Arabidopsis thaliana: one gene and its partners. The protein of the gene in region 1 interacts with the protein of each later gene in a biochemical or structural test. Each region holds a gene or a part of one and is shown on either strand. Other genes may lie near its edges.

Region 1 (3,915 bases):
CGCGATATCAAATCCATGCTTCCTCCTTTCAGATCCACCGTGGGGATCGTCAGCTGCTGCGAAGGTGGTGCTGTTTGTTTCAGGCTTGTTAGAGTATCCGGAGGTGTATGGAACATGGCTGGAATCTCTTTGATTCCCGAAGCCACAAGCCCTTTCACGCCGGTTTTTGTCTCGTCGAAAGCTTTTGCTTGACTTGAACGATCACTTGACTCCATCTTGCTTCTTCTTTCTTTTTTTTGCAATGCACAGATTTGCATAAGTGCTATTATTCCACATCTTAATGCACATCTTAATACAATTAAATAACAAAAGGAATCGTGACCCATATTAAGATAACAAATAAAGAAATGAATCGCCAAAAACAAGGTCCATTAGTTTATTTCAATTCCTATATTAAAATTTGGATTCTTAATTGGTCGTTTGTCTTTACAAGTAAGAATAGCATCCGGTTTGAACTTTTGTTAATTAACTACACACTTACCATATTAAATCTCATCGCCATTGTTGCTCGCCTAGCTCTCGAAACGCCACTAATTAGCAAAACAACATTTAAAGATATCTCGTTTGGAGGACTTTGGACAATCGTTCCGCTACTGTTCATTTTCTCTCTCTTTGAAGTTTTTTCCAGTTTTTACAGATCTAGTTTTTTCTGCCTCTGTTCTTCATCTTAGGTTATGAATTTGCAAGACAAAGCAGGAGTAAGGCAAGCTATCTTCTCCGGCATTGGAGTGGTGTGGTTTTTCCGGTAAGCGTGGCAGCGGTGGCCCTTTCTCGGTGGATGAGAGGCTTCTCTTCCGTTTCTTCCTGGTTATGGACGTCGGTGGAGATCGGTGAAGTCTTTCTTGGTTCAACCACTTGGTTAGACGCTGTAGCTGTGGCGGAAGACGCTGTGGATTGGTGGGTTTTCAGTGCGTGTTTGATGGTTAACAAACTGGATCTGAGATGGCTGTTGCGGGTTCCGGTTGCTGAAGGGTTGTCTGAGCCATCACCCTTCTTTAGCCTCCGTTTTTTGTCTCCATCAATCCGGATTGAAGGTTGCTTTGCTTTTGGAAAATTTTCAGATCTAAGGTTTTGGAGGTCAGAGGCTTGGAAATGCGTGGTCGTTTTGCGAGGTTGGGGACTCGACCAAATTGGGTGGCGGAGTGTCGGAAACTGGGTTTTTTCCGTTAGGTTTGTTGCAGGTCCGGCCAGCTCATTGGTAAGAGATTTGCGGCAGGACTCGTATACTTCGGCCAATGATCTCGTTCCGGTGGTTGTGTTGCAAAGTAGTGGGCCTTGTATACGACGGTACTAATAGATCTATTTGCTGCCTCCGTTCCACTGCCCAAATCCACCTCTGGTTCTCTTTTTCCGGTGACCGGATTTTTCCTGTTTTGTAACTGTGGACGATTGTAATTCCGGGCCTAAGCCCAATTGGGACTGGACCTTTTTTTTTAAAAAAAAAAAAAAAAGATATCTCGTTTGTGGAGAACGCATGCTAGCAACTTCCCTATCTATAAAATCAGATTTGCACCCCACAAACTAAAATATTATTTACGTACTTGATTAATTCCTACAATATAGTCATTTACAAAAATAACCCTCCATTTGATATTTAAGTCAAAATCAGTCAACGGAACGTGGAATAAATTATAACTTTCGACGCTCCGATCAGATTCATCATCATCTCTCTCTGTGTCGCTCCGATTTTGAATTTGGAATCTCTTAGTTAAGTTGGAAGTTTGTTCTTTGGTCTTTTCGCCTAGTTGTTGTTGGATCTGTTTTAAATTAAGCCAAAAACCTCCGATTAGATCGATCTCGGAACCGTCGAAATACAGTTCACCGTATCCGTTGTTTGTTTTTGGTATATGTATGTTTGAGAAGCTCTTACCATCTTTGTTTACAAGTCTGGTTCTTGGTAAACTTTAGCTATGAACACCATCGTCGTTGCTCAGTTGCAGAGACAATTTCAAGACTACATCGTTTCTCTTTATCAACAGGTTCGTTCCTAACCAAACTTTTCTTACTTTGGCTGGATTCTCACTTTTGGGCTTAGATAAGCTTAAGGTGCAGTTATGTGTGAATTTGAATTTTTTTATTTTTTTTATAAAGATGATATAATATGTTGTTGTTTTGAAGGGATTTCTGGATAATCAGTTCTCAGAGTTGAGAAAGTTGCAAGATGAAGGAACCCCTGATTTTGTAGCTGAAGTTGTCTCTCTATTCTTCGACGACTGTTCCAAGCTTATTAATACCATGTCTATATCCCTGTAAGCTTTGCTTACTCTCTTAGGCTTCTCTTTTTTATCTAACATGGGACTTTGTCTCTAATCCTCCTTCATATTCATTTTTGAGGGTGTAAATTAGCTTCATATATTCATGACAGCATTTTATGAGTTTATTATAAACATTAGGGAGCGGCCAGATAATGTGGATTTCAAACAGGTGGATTCAGGTGTTCATCAACTCAAGGGTAGTAGCTCCAGGTTTGTCACAGTGAACACTGCTAAATTTGCTTTTCTAGTTTTAAGTGACCAAACTACATTGATTTTAATGGCTCAGTCTCTGCTTTGTACTCAGTGTCGGTGCAAGGAGGGTGAAAAATGTGTGCATATCTTTCAAGGAATGTTGCGATGTTCAGAACCGTGAAGGGTGAGTATATTTTTTAGCTTGTTGATGCAAAATGTTATTGGATCTCTAAACTTTTTTATTATATGAGAAGCTATTCTTCTAATTCACACACAAATTGTGATAATGATATCTGGCACAGGTGTCTAAGGTGTTTACAGCAGGTGGATTATGAATATAAGATGTTAAAGACTAAACTTCAGGATCTCTTTAATGTGAGTTTTAAACTTTGCGAAAACCTACTTGTTCTGCTTGTGTATTCTTTTTACTGAGCCTTTTGCTACTTCTCATTCTTCTGTTTCTGTTATGTTATGTTGTTGCAGTTAGAGAAACAGATCCTCCAAGCTGGAGGTACAATTCCTCAAGTGGATATAAATTAGACCGATGCGTTTCTCGATTATGCAAATGTTCAAGGCTGATGACACAAATGAAACCGAAACTCCTCTGTAGTTTTGTTGTTGTTGTTATGTTTTATATTGATTAATGAGGTTCAGCAACACTGTCCCTGGCCAGATATCGTGTCTTGTTTAGACTCTTAATTGAGTTCTAAGAGTAAAAATTGAATTATTAGTCTATAAATAGACATGTCCATATGTATTCCTGTCACAATGCAACCACCATTTGGAGCCTTTGTTCTGACCATCATGACTTAGAATTCTCAGCATTATTCTGAATCTGATATACTCTATTGGATTCATGATTTTGATTTGAGCCGTAAAGCATGCGGGTACTAGTTAGCACTTTAGACGATTTCATTATGTGTGGATTAATCAAGAATGATTTGTTTGAATTATGGATAACACGATTCCATGGTCTCTTTATTTTGTTAACGGTATTCCATGGTCTCTTTTATCAACATTATTGTTATAGGGCTTATAAGACATGATTGTGACAATAGATTGAGAAAGGATTGGGCATGTCTTGTTAGGTATGTATTTAATATAATGTCCGAATTACCTCAAACTAGGAATGAAATAAAAAGAAAATGTCGAAGAATTATCAATAGATTGTTTATAAGTGGAATAAAAAATGTGAAGCCATGTGTCTATGGTAATCACTAGGTGGAGCATTTTTTTTTTTTTAAAGGAAGAGTATGTGAAGTGAAAGAGACTAATGAAACATAAATTGAAGGCATGGAGGCGTGTAATGTAACAAATAATAACAAAGCTTTTCTCCTCTATCCTTCATTTTATCATATCCATCTTCATCATTTTTATTTCTCTCAACCAATGTTTTTAAAATAATTTTGTAATATCCTTATAACATGGTTGGTTTTAGGGTTCTTCATGAAACCGATTCAAAAGTCAA
Region 2 (8,015 bases), on another chromosome or scaffold:
CTATCCTACTATATTATTTGGGAAGTACATTTTAAATATAACCTTATTTTTTGTAAGTAATTACATATGTATGCCATTAGAAATAAAATTTTAAAGAGTAAATTAATTCATTTCTTTAAAAATTAAAAAGTCAATTTAATTAATTAAATTTAACTCAAAAACGAAATACATTATTAATTTCCAAAAAAGTAACCAATTAAAATCAACAAATTAGATTTGATATCTAAATTATCATATTAATTTTTTATTAATTATTATAGTTCACCTCTCATCTTTATATGATTTTATTTTTGCAAAAAAATAATATCATCGTTATAAAAAAATAATTAGAGTTTTTTTCGCATATGCCACAATTTAAATTTAAAAAAAACAAATATAAACTGTTCAATACATGAAAAAATACTATAACGGGTCAAAAGTAGATTTAAAAAAAAATTTTACTGAGTACTGTGTTATAATTTGAATATTTATATTCAATTTCATACATATTATTTTAAAATTTATAATTTTATATACTAAAATAATTAATAACATATTAGATTTTTTAATGTGTATGATGTGATTCAATTTTTAATACAAGTTGGAAAATCCTAGAATTGACGGGTTTAAATCAATATTAATACAAGATGGTATAGTACAGGTGAAACTCTAAAATTAACAATCAAAATACAAGTATATAATTTTAAACATTAAACAATATAAATAATATCAACAAAACATATACAACTAGCAGTTTACTATACATTTAAAATCAAATAAAATAATATCATATATTTGTAATCAACTTTACAATAAAAGTTTTTAGTTTAACTAAAATATAAGCCTACCTGCTGTATAATGCAAGTTAAAATTATAAATAAGCAGATTACCATCACGATGGATGTACCTTCTCACATACACACCTATCAAAAACTTAAAACCTTTCAAAACCTCTTGGTATATTCAAATTAGGATTCTTCATTCATAGAATCATTATTCCAAGGGTTTTGGGATGTCTTATGAAATGATTTTGGCAGAAGAGGATGTAAATTTTTTTGAATAAAAGGTATTCAACAAAACATATGTTTTATTGGGATTTTTTAGATAATTAAATCAGAGAATAGGGCTGGGCATATGAGTAACCCATTCGAGTTCGGGTAGAACCCGTTCGGGTTTGGGATTAATGGGTATATGATTTACTACCTAATAGAATAATTCTAAATATTCGGTTCGGGTCGGGTCCAGTTGGGTTTGGGTCAGTTTGGATAAAAAGTTTCAGGCCCTAAAAATACTCAAAAAAATAGAAACGAGTATTTTGTATGTAGATAGTGCGTCTCTAAACAAAAAAAACTTTTAAATTTATTAAGTTTTAATAAATTTAATTATATTTGAATATATTTTACTAAATTTTGACAAATATAACAAATAATTTTGATAAACATAACAAACATAACAAAGTATACAATGTAATTTATACAAAATATTAATGCCCGTGCTATACAGCACGGGTTATGATCTAGTCCTAATATATTTTCAAAGTCAAATACAATTTTAAACAGAACTTCTTACATAAAAATAATCAGAATCATAAATGTAACTGGGAGACAAAGATACATAAACTGATAAAAAGAAATAAGATGTACATATAGAATCAAATCAATACCCACTTCTCGTAAAACCCACTCATCGTTATATTTTATACAAGATAAGATAAGACTTAAGAGTAGATGTTAAACTATGCTAATGAAGCAATTTAAAAACACCAAAAAGACCAAACAAAAAACAAATAACAATGAGTAGGTTTTAGGAGAAGCATGTATTGATTCTTGGTATAGTTGAGTTTATTTATATTTTCATTAGCCAATCACTTTTTCTAATTTAACTAAAAATGTTATAATACCTTCCCCACCTAGATGATGAGATAATCATGGACCCAAAAACCTCAGTTTTTAAAAATGTTTATTCACCAAAAGACAAAAACAATAATAATAATCAAAAGTAGAGTAAAAGAAGAGAGAAGTGACATTCTTTTTCTTTAGCTCATAATTTCTCTAACAAATGCTTCTTTTATCCAAACTCTGATCATTGAGTCCAGTTGGGTAATGAGAGACACCAGCTGGGTTTCTTTTGTTTAAGCTCACAAACATCTAAAACAGAGAAAGCTTTGTCATTTTTCTTTACCCTGAAACCATGAAAGAAGATAAAGCTTTGTCCTTTTTCTCTTTTCCGTTTCTTTACTCTCAACAATGTCTTCTTTCTCCCATTGCAACAACCACTGGGTTTGGTTCATCTTGTCCTCTTGCGTCTTAAGTAAGAAAAAAGAAAAAAGCTTTGCGTTTGGGACTATGTCACAGCTTCTTGTTCTTCTTGTGGATGGTTTCAAGAACTCAACTATGAGATTGTTGTTGATAGAGTTTTAGTTTTGGGTTTGAAGAGATCTGAATTTCTTCAGCTGAATCTGAGATTAGGAGTCGAAATGTCTATAACTTGTGAGCTCTTGAATCTTACTTCAAAGAAAGCTAAGAAGTCGTCGAGCAGTGACAAGAAATGGCTAAAGAAGCCTCTCTTCTTCCTGATTTTGTGTGGCTCTTTGGTAATTGTTTTGGTTATGTTCTTACGGTTAGGTAGAAGTCAGAAGGAGGAGACAGATTCTTGTAATGGAGAAGAGAAAGTGTTGTATAGACATCAAAATGTCACAAGAAGTGAGATTCATGATTTGGTCTCTTTGTTCTCTGATTCAGATCAGGTAATTGCATGAATTGACTTGTATTTGTTGAAATTGAGCTTTTGAATACGCACCAGATTTGCCTTAAAGTGTAACAGTTTCTCTGTATTTGTTGTAGGTAACATCCTTTGAATGTCATAAGGAATCAAGCCCTGGAATGTGGACAAACTATGGTATTACATGTTCCCTGAGTGTGCGTTCTGATAAACAAGAGACTAGAGGGCTTCCCTGGAATCTTGGCTTAGGACATTCTATCTCATCAACATCTTGTATGTGTGGTAATCTTGAACCGGTAAGATAATATTCGATTCGACAACATGTGAAGGAAATGCTTTAAGATTTGGTGTTTAGCTAGTTCTCACAAAAGTTTATTGTGAATGTGTTTGGTTATGAGTAGATTTTACAGCAACCTGAAAACCTTGAGGAAGAAAACCATGAAGAAGGGCTGGAGCAGGGTTTGTCATCGTATTTAAGAAATGCATGGTGGTGTCTAATCCTTGGTGTGTTAGTGTGCCATAAGATTTATGTATCTCATTCTAAAGCACGAGGTGAGAGGAAAGAGAAAGTACATCTGCAAGAGGCTTTAGCTCCAAAGAAGCAGCAACAACGTGCTCAGACTTCTTCTAGAGGGGCTGGAAGATGGAGGAAGAATATCCTTCTCCTTGGTATTTTAGGAGGAGTTTCCTTCTCTGTTTGGTGGTTTTGGGACACTAATGAGGAGATCATAATGAAAAGGAGGGAGACTTTGGCAAACATGTGTGACGAACGAGCACGTGTTTTACAAGATCAGTTCAATGTTAGCTTGAACCATGTTCATGCCTTGTCTATTCTTGTATCTACATTTCATCATGGTAAAATCCCATCTGCCATTGATCAGGTGATGTTTTTTTCTTACTGCTAAATACATTTTGTGTCTCAAGTTTATGTTTAAATCATCAACTTCTGTTACATTTACAGAGAACATTTGAAGAATATACTGAGAGAACAAACTTTGAGAGGCCACTTACTAGTGGTGTAGCGTATGCTTTGAAAGTCCCACACTCAGAAAGAGAGAAATTTGAAAAGGAGCATGGATGGGCAATAAAGAAAATGGAAACTGAGGACCAGACAGTTGTACAAGATTGTGTTCCTGAAAACTTTGATCCCGCACCGATTCAAGACGAATACGCGCCAGTTATATTTGCTCAAGAAACTGTTTCCCATATTGTATCGGTCGACATGATGTCTGGAGAAGTCAGTAACGTCTAAAAGTTTCTTGAACTATTTTGCCAAACCAATGTCCTTAAAAGAGAATTCAAAAGTCTAACTATTTTGCAGGAAGACCGTGAAAACATCTTACGGGCAAGGGCATCAGGAAAAGGAGTGTTAACATCTCCATTTAAGCTTCTTAAGTCAAATCATCTTGGTGTTGTGTTGACCTTTGCTGTCTATGACACGAGCCTACCGCCTGATGCTACAGAAGAACAGCGTGTTGAAGCAACTATTGGGTACTACTTCTACTTAAAATGATTCTAGGACTGAAGAAATTGAACCTATGTAACAAAGAATGATCTCTGGACCAGAAAATATTAATAAGATACACTTAAAAACAGGTACCTTGGTGCATCATATGATATGCCATCGCTGGTGGAGAAACTTCTTCACCAACTTGCCAGCAAACAGACAATTGCTGTGGATGTTTACGACACAACTAACACTTCAGGTCTAATAAAAATGTATGGCTCAGAAATTGGGGATATAAGTGAGCAGCATATAAGTAGCCTTGATTTTGGTGATCCATCAAGGAACCATGAGATGCATTGCAGGTTAGTTAGCTCTAACTGTTATGGTACATTTTTATAAGATATGTTTCACTTCTCTGTTTTCTGAAGTATGAAAGTGGCATTTTTCATTTACAGGTTTAAGCATAAACTTCCCATTCCCTGGACAGCGATAACACCGTCGATCTTAGTTCTGGTTATTACTTTTCTTGTTGGTTATATTTTATATGAAGCCATCAACCGAATTGCGACAGTTGAAGAGGATTGTCAGAAGATGAGGGAACTCAAAGCTCGTGCTGAGGCCGCTGACATTGCAAAGTCACAGGTGATCTTTGTGAATCATATAGTCTCAAAAGCTTTACTTGTTTTTTCACTGAAATGCTTCTTATTTTGCAGTTCCTAGCAACTGTTTCTCATGAGATACGGACTCCGATGAATGGAGTTTTAGGTACTTTTTCTACTTATCCTTGGTCAATATTGCATGTTCTCTTAAAATCAGCTGAAACGTTTAAGCATTTTGTTACAGGAATGCTGAAAATGCTGATGGACACCGATCTTGATGCGAAGCAGATGGACTATGCGCAAACTGCTCATGGCAGTGGGAAGGATCTTACATCACTAATAAATGAGGTTCTTGATCAGGCAAAGATTGAATCCGGAAGGCTCGAGCTTGAAAATGTGCCTTTTGATATGCGTTTTATTCTTGATAATGTTTCATCTCTCCTCTCTGGCAAGGCAAATGAAAAAGGAATTGAGGTATAATTATAAACTGCATGACCTTCTACTTTCTTAATGTTTTCATATGGCAAACAAATTCCATATGTAATGAAATGTTGACTTCTTGTTACAGTTGGCCGTTTATGTTTCTAGTCAAGTTCCTGATGTTGTAGTCGGTGATCCGAGTCGGTTCCGGCAGATCATTACAAACCTGGTTGGAAACTCAATCAAAGTAATTTACTCCTTACTTCTTACAGAACAACAGGCTTCACGAATCTCTACTATTACAGTACTCATTTGTTATTTACTTAATAACAGTTCACACAGGAAAGGGGACACATATTTATCTCAGTGCACCTTGCAGATGAGGTAAAGGAGCCTCTTACTATTGAAGACGCAGTGCTAAAACAGCGACTAGCTTTAGGATGCAGCGAGTCCGGTGAGACAGTTAGCGGGTTTCCTGCGGTAAATGCATGGGGAAGCTGGAAGAATTTCAAGACATGTTACAGTACTGAGAGTCAGAATTCTGATCAAATCAAATTGCTAGTTACAGTGGAGGACACTGGAGTTGGCATACCTGTGGATGCACAAGGCCGAATCTTCACACCTTTTATGCAAGCCGACAGTTCCACATCGCGGACTTATGGTGGAACTGGCATAGGTTTGAGTATAAGCAAACGTTTGGTTGAACTCATGCAAGGAGAGATGGGGTTTGTGAGTGAGCCCGGGATAGGCAGTACTTTTTCATTTACTGGAGTTTTCGGGAAAGCAGAAACAAATACGTCGATTACTAAGCTGGAACGATTCGATCTAGCTATTCAGGAGTTTACAGGATTGAGAGCATTAGTTATTGATAACAGAAACATTAGAGCAGAGGTCACCAGGTACGAACTTCGGAGACTGGGAATATCTGCAGACATTGTTTCAAGTCTGAGAATGGCATGCACTTGTTGTATCAGGTACTTTACGTACATTAGTGTCTGTCTGTCTTTAGAGATTATAGTGAGTTCACTAAAAGCGTTTTATTGTTCTGGAATCTTTGCAGCAAATTAGAAAATTTGGCTATGATTCTAATAGACAAAGACGCCTGGAACAAGGAAGAATTTTCAGTACTTGACGAGTTGTTTACCCGAAGCAAAGTAACCTTTACAAGAGTCCCAAAGATTTTTCTTTTGGCAACTTCTGCAACTCTTACTGAGCGCAGTGAGATGAAGTCTACTGGTCTCATCGATGAGGTGGTGATAAAGCCTCTTCGGATGAGTGTCTTAATATGTTGCTTGCAAGAAACCCTTGTCAATGGCAAGAAGAGGCAACCGAACAGACAGCGAAGAAATCTTGGACACTTGCTAAGAGAAAAACAGATTCTGGTTGTGGATGATAATCTTGTGAACAGACGAGTTGCAGAAGGTGCACTTAAGAAATATGGAGCTATTGTTACATGCGTTGAGAGTGGCAAAGCTGCATTGGCAATGCTTAAGCCGCCTCATAACTTCGATGCTTGCTTCATGGATCTCCAGATGCCTGAAATGGATGGGTAGATAACTATTTTTCAATCTTATCTCTTCAGCTTGTTCATTTCTTGGATGTCGTCCTTGGTAACTTTATAATTTTTTGCGCAGATTTGAAGCGACAAGGAGAGTCCGTGAGCTGGAGAGGGAAATCAATAAGAAAATAGCTTCTGGAGAAGTTTCAGCTGAAATGTTCTGTAAATTTAGTAGTTGGCACGTCCCGATATTAGCAATGACAGCAGATGTTATTCAGGCTACTCATGAAGAATGCATGAAATGTGGAATGGATGGTTATGTATCAAAACCGTTTGAAGAGGAAGTGCTCTACACAGCGGTAGCAAGATTCTTTGAACCTTGTTAAAAGAAAAAGCCATTTCCCTTGTAGGATTATATATCAACCCGAGAGCTTTTTGACATCGGGTAGTATATCTTGAACATCCATGACCTGCAATTCAACTTGAGATCAAGGCAAGAACCAGTTCATTGTCAATTTTTCTTCACAGGTCTCTTTCAGCTTAAGACCTCGTCTGGTTGAGTGAGAAAAACTGCGAAAACCGATCTTTCTCTTTGTATAGACACTTTGTCTTCATTGATCTCTGCCTGTGTGTATAGTAGATTCCTAGGGTATAGCTCCATTATATTCATTTTATATATATATAAACCCAAACTCTGTCCTCTTAACTATGAAACAGCTTGTATATTGTGTAGTAATAGTAATGGCTCTTGATTACATGATAGGAAGCGTATAAATGACAGTGTGTTCTGAAAAGCTTCCAGAAGCAGAACAAAATCTTCCTCAAAAGTCAAAACCAATGCAGATCTGGCACATGATTGCATCTGAAGCAAACCAAGATTCCCTAGTCATAGATCTTGAACTTTTGGACTAATGATTCTTTCTAACTAGTATAAAGGGTATCAAGTTGCACTCATTTCCTTAGCTCCCAAACTTCCTAACTAGATAGATCAGATCTGGATCTCTCTGCACCACTCATTGCCTTCTCTAGAAACATGTCAACTTTCTTGATAAGGATACTTCTTCCTTTGCTTATCATAGCAATGACTCTTCCTCGACGTTCAGGTAAAAACACCACTGCAATGTTCATACTATGTCCCTTTTTTGGCCTTATGCAGATGTATGTGAGTGTATGTTTAAGCAGAGGCAGAGTCGGAACAATGGTGCATAGCGGATGAACAAACGCCAGACGATGAGTTGCAAGCAGCCTTAGACTGGGCTTGCGGAAAAGGTGGAGCAGACTGCAGCAAAATGCAGCAGGAAAACCAGCCTTGCTTCTTGCCTAACACAATCAGAGATCATGCCTCCTTTGC
Region 3 (5,449 bases), on another chromosome or scaffold:
AGCTCTACGATTGCTGGACTCAATTCTTTTTTCCGATAGTTTTTCAGTATGGTGGTACATATATGTTTTGGTGGTACACTAGCTAGTTTTGTACACATAATTTTGTGGCGGTAAAAAGGTGAAACGTGCAATATTAGTTTAAGAAATTGAGATTACTAGGATCCTTGTATCATAGCCAATGGTATGTCAACAAACAAAAATAAAAGCCATAGTCTTATACAATGGCGGATCCAGGAAATAATTTTATATGGAGCACAATTATAAAAAATCAATAAAAAGACATAGCAAGGCTTGAACTTGGGTTAATGTGGGGCACCATTAAGTAAAATACCACTACACTACATACATTTTTAATTACATAATGCAAACTTATATAAGATTTATATAATTGAGTATCGGGCACATGCCCCACCCAAGACCAACGTGTGTCCGCCCCTGGTCTTATACATTGTCATATTGCTGCGGATAACAAATAAAACAACAAAAATTGACTGTATAGAAAGAAAAAGAAAAGAGATAGGAAATGTGGAAAGTGAGAGAGCAATATGGAACCCACTAGACCCATAAGAGAGTATTGGTTATTGGACGGACTTTTCATGTGTCTACCATACTTTGGATACGTGTCGTCCATATAAAGATGATGATTGATGATGATAGTGGTGATGATGGGCATGACCATGGGAGGCAAATCTTTGGCAGAGAATCAAGTGAACATTGCCATGTCTTTGCCACTACCACACTACCTAACTATTTAGTAAATTTTCTTATTCTTTTGCCAACGAATCTGATCGCCAAGTATAATACGATGAGCGCAAAACACTATTTCACATTTAGGTTACATTTTTTTTATTTAATACTGTTCGTAGATGTAAAAGCATTTAAAAATAGTATCTATAATACTTAGAATATAAAACATCATTTATACTATATATTTTATATTGTGGATTTTTAACAAATCCCATTAACAAGAGATACTTGTAGCATGGGAACTTACAACTAAATTACCGTTATACTACTATTTTCCTCTCTAAATAATACATTCATCTCTTCTTATTTATCTCCAACCACTAAAAACTTTGACTGGTCATATAATTTTTATGTTACCAATCATCATAATTAAGATTTACCAATTTAACTTCACAAAAAAAAAGATTTATCAATCTAATTTACTGATTGAGTATTACACCAGAGACCAACCACATTTGTACTAAAAGTGAGAAAAAGAAAACATAAAAATTATATCCAATAAGTAAATGATACGCAGCAAAACACGTCACATCGACTCGCATATGAATACACAAACCCCACAACATAAACTGCTAAATAGAAATAGGGACGATGTTGTGGTCCGACGAAAATCTTTTCCACTAGTCACTCTTTCAATCAGGACCATTACAAATTATTTCGAATGTTTGTGCAGAGTATAAATAAAAACAAATTGAATATTGTAAATACATCAACGATCCACCGTAAAAACATTCAAAATTCTATTCCTTTTTTTTTTTTTTGGGATTTAAACCACTCTTAACATTCAAAATTATAAGCAAATTCTTAATTAGGTTCAACGATTATTTGATCGGTGACATCCCAGCAGCTCAATAAACATATATTAAAATCGAAAATAAAAAATACTGTCATCACAAAAACTCGTTATTATTTAATCTCTTTTAAAACATCTTGTTTTCGAACATCTTGCTAACTAATGTATAAGTTTTTTTGTTTTTTTAAACGTTAAACTACAATTCTTTTTGACAATGAACGGTTTTTTCTATATATATATATTTTCAAATGGCTGTTAAAACCCACCAATAGCAATGCATGTGGTTGTGGTAGTATACACATTATTAAATCCCTCATCCTCTTATCTTAAAAAAAAAAAAAGTCTTTGGTGGGCTAAACAAATCCTTTAAAATCTTCATATAGATTTCTTTCCATTATTTATTTTATCCATTATCAAAGTCTTTTTTTTTTTTAAATTTCTTTCTCTCGTTGTCTCCTTGGAAATTACTTTCATCATTTAAAAAACTTGCTTACTCCGTAAACCAAAGCTAGATCCAATTAGTCTTATTTCCTTTTTATTCGTCTCTCTCTCACTATCCGAGATTTGGGTTGAAAAATACAAACCCCCTTTTATTTCTCCTCTTCTCTCCTACAAGCTCATTCAGAACTCTCAACATTTCCGGTAGAGAAAAAAAAACCGTTTTTTTTTTAATCTCTTTCTAAAGAAGGATATCAAAACAAAACACAAAGTTGAAAACTTTGCATCTGGGTTTGTCTATTTTAGATTCAGATCTTAGTTTTTTTCGATTGAATATCTACAATGGTAATGGAAACAGAGTCAAAGTTCCATGTTTTAGCTGTTGATGATAGTCTTTTTGATCGGAAAATGATTGAGAGATTGCTTCAAAAGTCTTCATGTCAAGGTAGATTCGAAAAAGCCATAATCTTTAAGCTATATGTATTGGAGAAAGAGAAGGAAGATATACTGAAAAAAAGGTTTCTTTATTTGGTTCTTGTTCTTATGTTTTGCAGTAACTACAGTTGATTCAGGCTCTAAAGCTCTGGAATTTCTGGGTTTAAGAGTAGATGACAACGACCCAAATGCACTCTCTACATCGCCACAAATTCATCAGGTTCAGTTTTTGATCTTTTACATGATTCAAAGTTGGTTACTTTCGAAATTTGCAATGAATGGTTATATTGAGATTTGTTTGTAATTTGTGGCTTTTGAGCAGGAAGTTGAAATAAATCTAATAATTACAGATTACTGTATGCCTGGCATGACTGGTTATGATTTGCTCAAGAAAGTTAAGGTATTTCTTCTCAATTTGGTTACTGTCTTTTCCATCTCTGGCTAAATTCGTTTCCAGAAAAAGAAATAAAGTTTTTTACTTTAGTTTTCTTTTCCAAATGAGAATGTCAATGGAGAAATTGAAAATCTCATTTTGGAATATTTTCCCACTCAAAAACTTTCCTTTATGCCATTGTTTGATAAAAAAGAACAATTGATTTGCTTCTGAGTAATCTACATGATTGTTGTGTATAGGAATCAGCGGCGTTTAGAAGTATACCTGTAGTTATAATGTCATCTGAGAACGTTCCTGCAAGAATCTCCAGGTAAGAGCTCTGTTTCTTTAAAGTTAATTTGAGTATTATTGATTTGAGAATTGGCAAGTGGATACTATTATTCGATTCTTTGGTTTGAATAAGTCTTTGAACTATCTACAAAATTGTGGTGGTTTCTTCCAACAGATGTTTGGAAGAAGGAGCTGAAGAGTTTTTCTTGAAACCAGTGAAGTTAGCTGATCTTACCAAGTTGAAACCTCATATGATGAAAACGAAGTTGAAGAAAGAAAGTGAGAAACCAGTTGCCATAGAAGAGATTGTGGTGTCTAAACCGGAGATAGAAGAAGAAGAAGAAGAGTCATCAGTGATTGAAATCTTGCCTCTCCACCAAGAAATTGAATCCGAACAACTTGAACCAATGTTGAGTAGTAATAAGAGAAAAGCAATGGAAGAAGTGGTTTCTACTGATCGATCACGTCCTAAATACAATGATATCACAACCTCGGTCTGAAGGAGGACTAACGCAACCCGAGAAGCCACTACAAGACCTATATGGAGAATGCCAACAGAATCTCTCAGTAGAAGATCTGCTAACTCTTGCATCTGAAGCAAACAACAACGGACTGCAAGGAGGACTAACGCAACCCGAGAAGCCACTACAAGACCTATATGGAGAATGCCAACAGAATCTCTCAGTAGAAGATCTGCTAACTCTTGAATATGAAGCAAACAACAACGGACTGCTAGGAGTAATACCGCAGCAACATCGTTATCATCAGGAAAAAGAGACAATGCAGACACAAGGAGATCCACTAAATCGAATACCTATTCAATCAGAAGCTTCAAACCATTCAGATAGTGGTAAGTAGCAACACTAGAAATGTGGTTTCATACTATAGCTTTTGTCATCTCTTATCTTACTTGTTTCTTGGTTGTTCTCTCTTTTCACTCAGGTGATAGCACACTAACAATGGCTCAAAACCAGGATGGTCTCGGACACAGTAGTTGTTTTATTCTCTGTCAATTTACTTCTCTCCCCTAGATTAGCTTTCTTCGTTTTTTTCTTTTATTTTTCATGCTGTTAAACCCACAAGATTTTTGGGAAGTTTCTTGCTACTAGCTTAAGAATCCAAAACTATTGCAAAGATTGAAGCTTTCGAGAATTAGTAATGAATCTTATCAAAACTAACAGCTACATTTACTAGCTTAAGAACCATTAAACGAATTGTAAAATTCTCTCATCTTGTGGGTGTAACAGCATCAAAGATCTAAATCCAATCTTATCAAAAATTGGAAGTGGTCGAAAGTTTTGGCCTTTTGATACGAACAAGCTTCAAAGATATAATTCCTGAGATTGAAGATGAAATTTTTATGATTTGTTCCCTTTGGAAACGAAAACTGTATTAAGAGAGCTATTTGTCCCACATCGGAAAAACAAAACGTTTTGTTGTTGTATATAATAGGGAAGGTAGCGAGTATTGTACGTCGAACTCAGTAACGCGGGCTTGTGATCCAAGTGGAGACAATAAGGGGATGGGACGTTGGGTCGATCTCATTGGGCCGGGTTCGGGTTGGGCTATATTCTGGCCCGCCCATTCCAAGTTGGGAGTTGAGGCATGGGCTTCGAGCGAAGGCTCGGGTCTCATGTCTTCTAGAGTGGGGGAGACCGCGTGAGGCTGGTTTCACAGAGCAGCGTCCACCTCCCGCTCTTGACGGTGGAAGGATTACGGGCCATTGCCTTCCGAGCCCACTATGACCCAATAAGCCGCTCCGATTGGACCATCACTTTTTTATTTTCTCTTTCTTATTTTTTTGTGTACTCTCTCGTTTTTTTCAGTATTTCAAAACTGGACAATAATATTAACGTTTAACTATAAAGAAAGCAAAATCATTAGCCCTAATTTTGATTAGAGATAACATTCCAAGAACTATCTAAAAAGAAAAAAAAATGTGACAAAAGGAAGCTTCTGTGATGTTTGTTGCATCAAATTATTTTACATAATTATTTATTTCCAATCACATGAGTAATATTCATTATGCCTCCTTTTTATGCAATATTTCTGTTGTTTTGTGAAGTACTATCAACTAACGATAGGAAAAATACAAAAGTTTAATTATAAATATGAAAGGAAACAAAATATGTCCAATTATAAGGGAATAATTATTAGTTCGTTGGGGAAATGTCAGCTAGCTCGTAAATGACATTTATTTTGGTATTTAAAAACAAAATAAACACACTATCAAAATTTGCATAACATATAGTACCAAGTAATCAACCACTGGGTCGGGTTGATAAAGTTTGGGTTGCGATCTTCTCTTTTTATTGGTCGAACAGTGACGTGTCCCCTAACGCTGTCCTAACTGGCCAGAAAGAGACACGGCT

What was found. The genes of interacting proteins can lie anywhere in the genome.
Region 2: the proteins of AHP5 (region 1) and HK2 form a complex in vitro, tested with the Arabidopsis thaliana proteins (one study listed by BioGRID).
Region 3: the proteins of AHP5 (region 1) and RR3 form a complex in vitro, tested with the Arabidopsis thaliana proteins (one study listed by BioGRID).

What each region holds. Positions count from the first base shown.
Region 1 is NC_003070.9:846,249-850,163, forward strand, and holds AHP5 (histidine-containing phosphotransfer factor 5), read left to right. Parts: upstream 1-1,544; 5' UTR 1,545-1,910; coding exon 1,911-1,979; intron 1,980-2,118; coding exon 2,119-2,249; intron 2,250-2,393; coding exon 2,394-2,465; intron 2,466-2,559; coding exon 2,560-2,631; intron 2,632-2,749; coding exon 2,750-2,822; coding exon of another isoform or gene 2,823-2,879; exon of another isoform or gene 2,880-2,930; coding exon 2,931-2,987; 3' UTR 2,988-3,373; downstream 3,374-3,915. Other genes in the region: 2A6 (2-oxoglutarate (2OG) and Fe(II)-dependent oxygenase superfamily protein), read right to left, coding at 1-326. UniProt on the Arabidopsis thaliana protein: Functions as a two-component phosphorelay mediator between cytokinin sensor histidine kinases and response regulators (B-type ARRs). Plays an important role in propagating cytokinin signal transduction through the multistep His-to-Asp phosphorelay.
Region 2 is NC_003076.8:13,910,778-13,918,792, reverse strand, and holds HK2 (histidine kinase 2), read left to right. Parts: upstream 1-1,987; 5' UTR 1,988-2,455; coding exon 2,456-2,725; intron 2,726-2,822; coding exon 2,823-2,996; intron 2,997-3,101; coding exon 3,102-3,581; intron 3,582-3,661; coding exon 3,662-3,937; intron 3,938-4,021; coding exon 4,022-4,191; intron 4,192-4,296; coding exon 4,297-4,509; intron 4,510-4,602; coding exon 4,603-4,789; intron 4,790-4,860; coding exon 4,861-4,912; intron 4,913-4,990; coding exon 4,991-5,220; intron 5,221-5,314; coding exon 5,315-5,413; intron 5,414-5,499; coding exon 5,500-6,140; intron 6,141-6,226; coding exon 6,227-6,715; intron 6,716-6,800; coding exon 6,801-7,050; 3' UTR 7,051-7,510; downstream 7,511-8,015. Other genes in the region: AT5G35740 (Carbohydrate-binding X8 domain superfamily protein), read left to right, coding at 7,698-7,767, 7,847-8,015. UniProt on the Arabidopsis thaliana protein: Cytokinins (CK) receptor related to bacterial two-component regulators. Functions as a histidine kinase and transmits the stress signal to a downstream MAPK cascade.
Region 3 is NC_003071.7:17,219,960-17,225,408, forward strand, and holds RR3 (response regulator 3), read left to right. Parts: upstream 1-1,880; 5' UTR 1,881-2,320; coding exon 2,321-2,423; intron 2,424-2,532; coding exon 2,533-2,633; intron 2,634-2,735; coding exon 2,736-2,813; intron 2,814-3,046; coding exon 3,047-3,117; intron 3,118-3,252; coding exon 3,253-3,577; 3' UTR 3,578-3,927; intron 3,928-4,019; 3' UTR 4,020-4,921; downstream 4,922-5,449. UniProt on the Arabidopsis thaliana protein: Functions as a response regulator involved in His-to-Asp phosphorelay signal transduction system. Phosphorylation of the Asp residue in the receiver domain activates the ability of the protein to promote the transcription of target genes.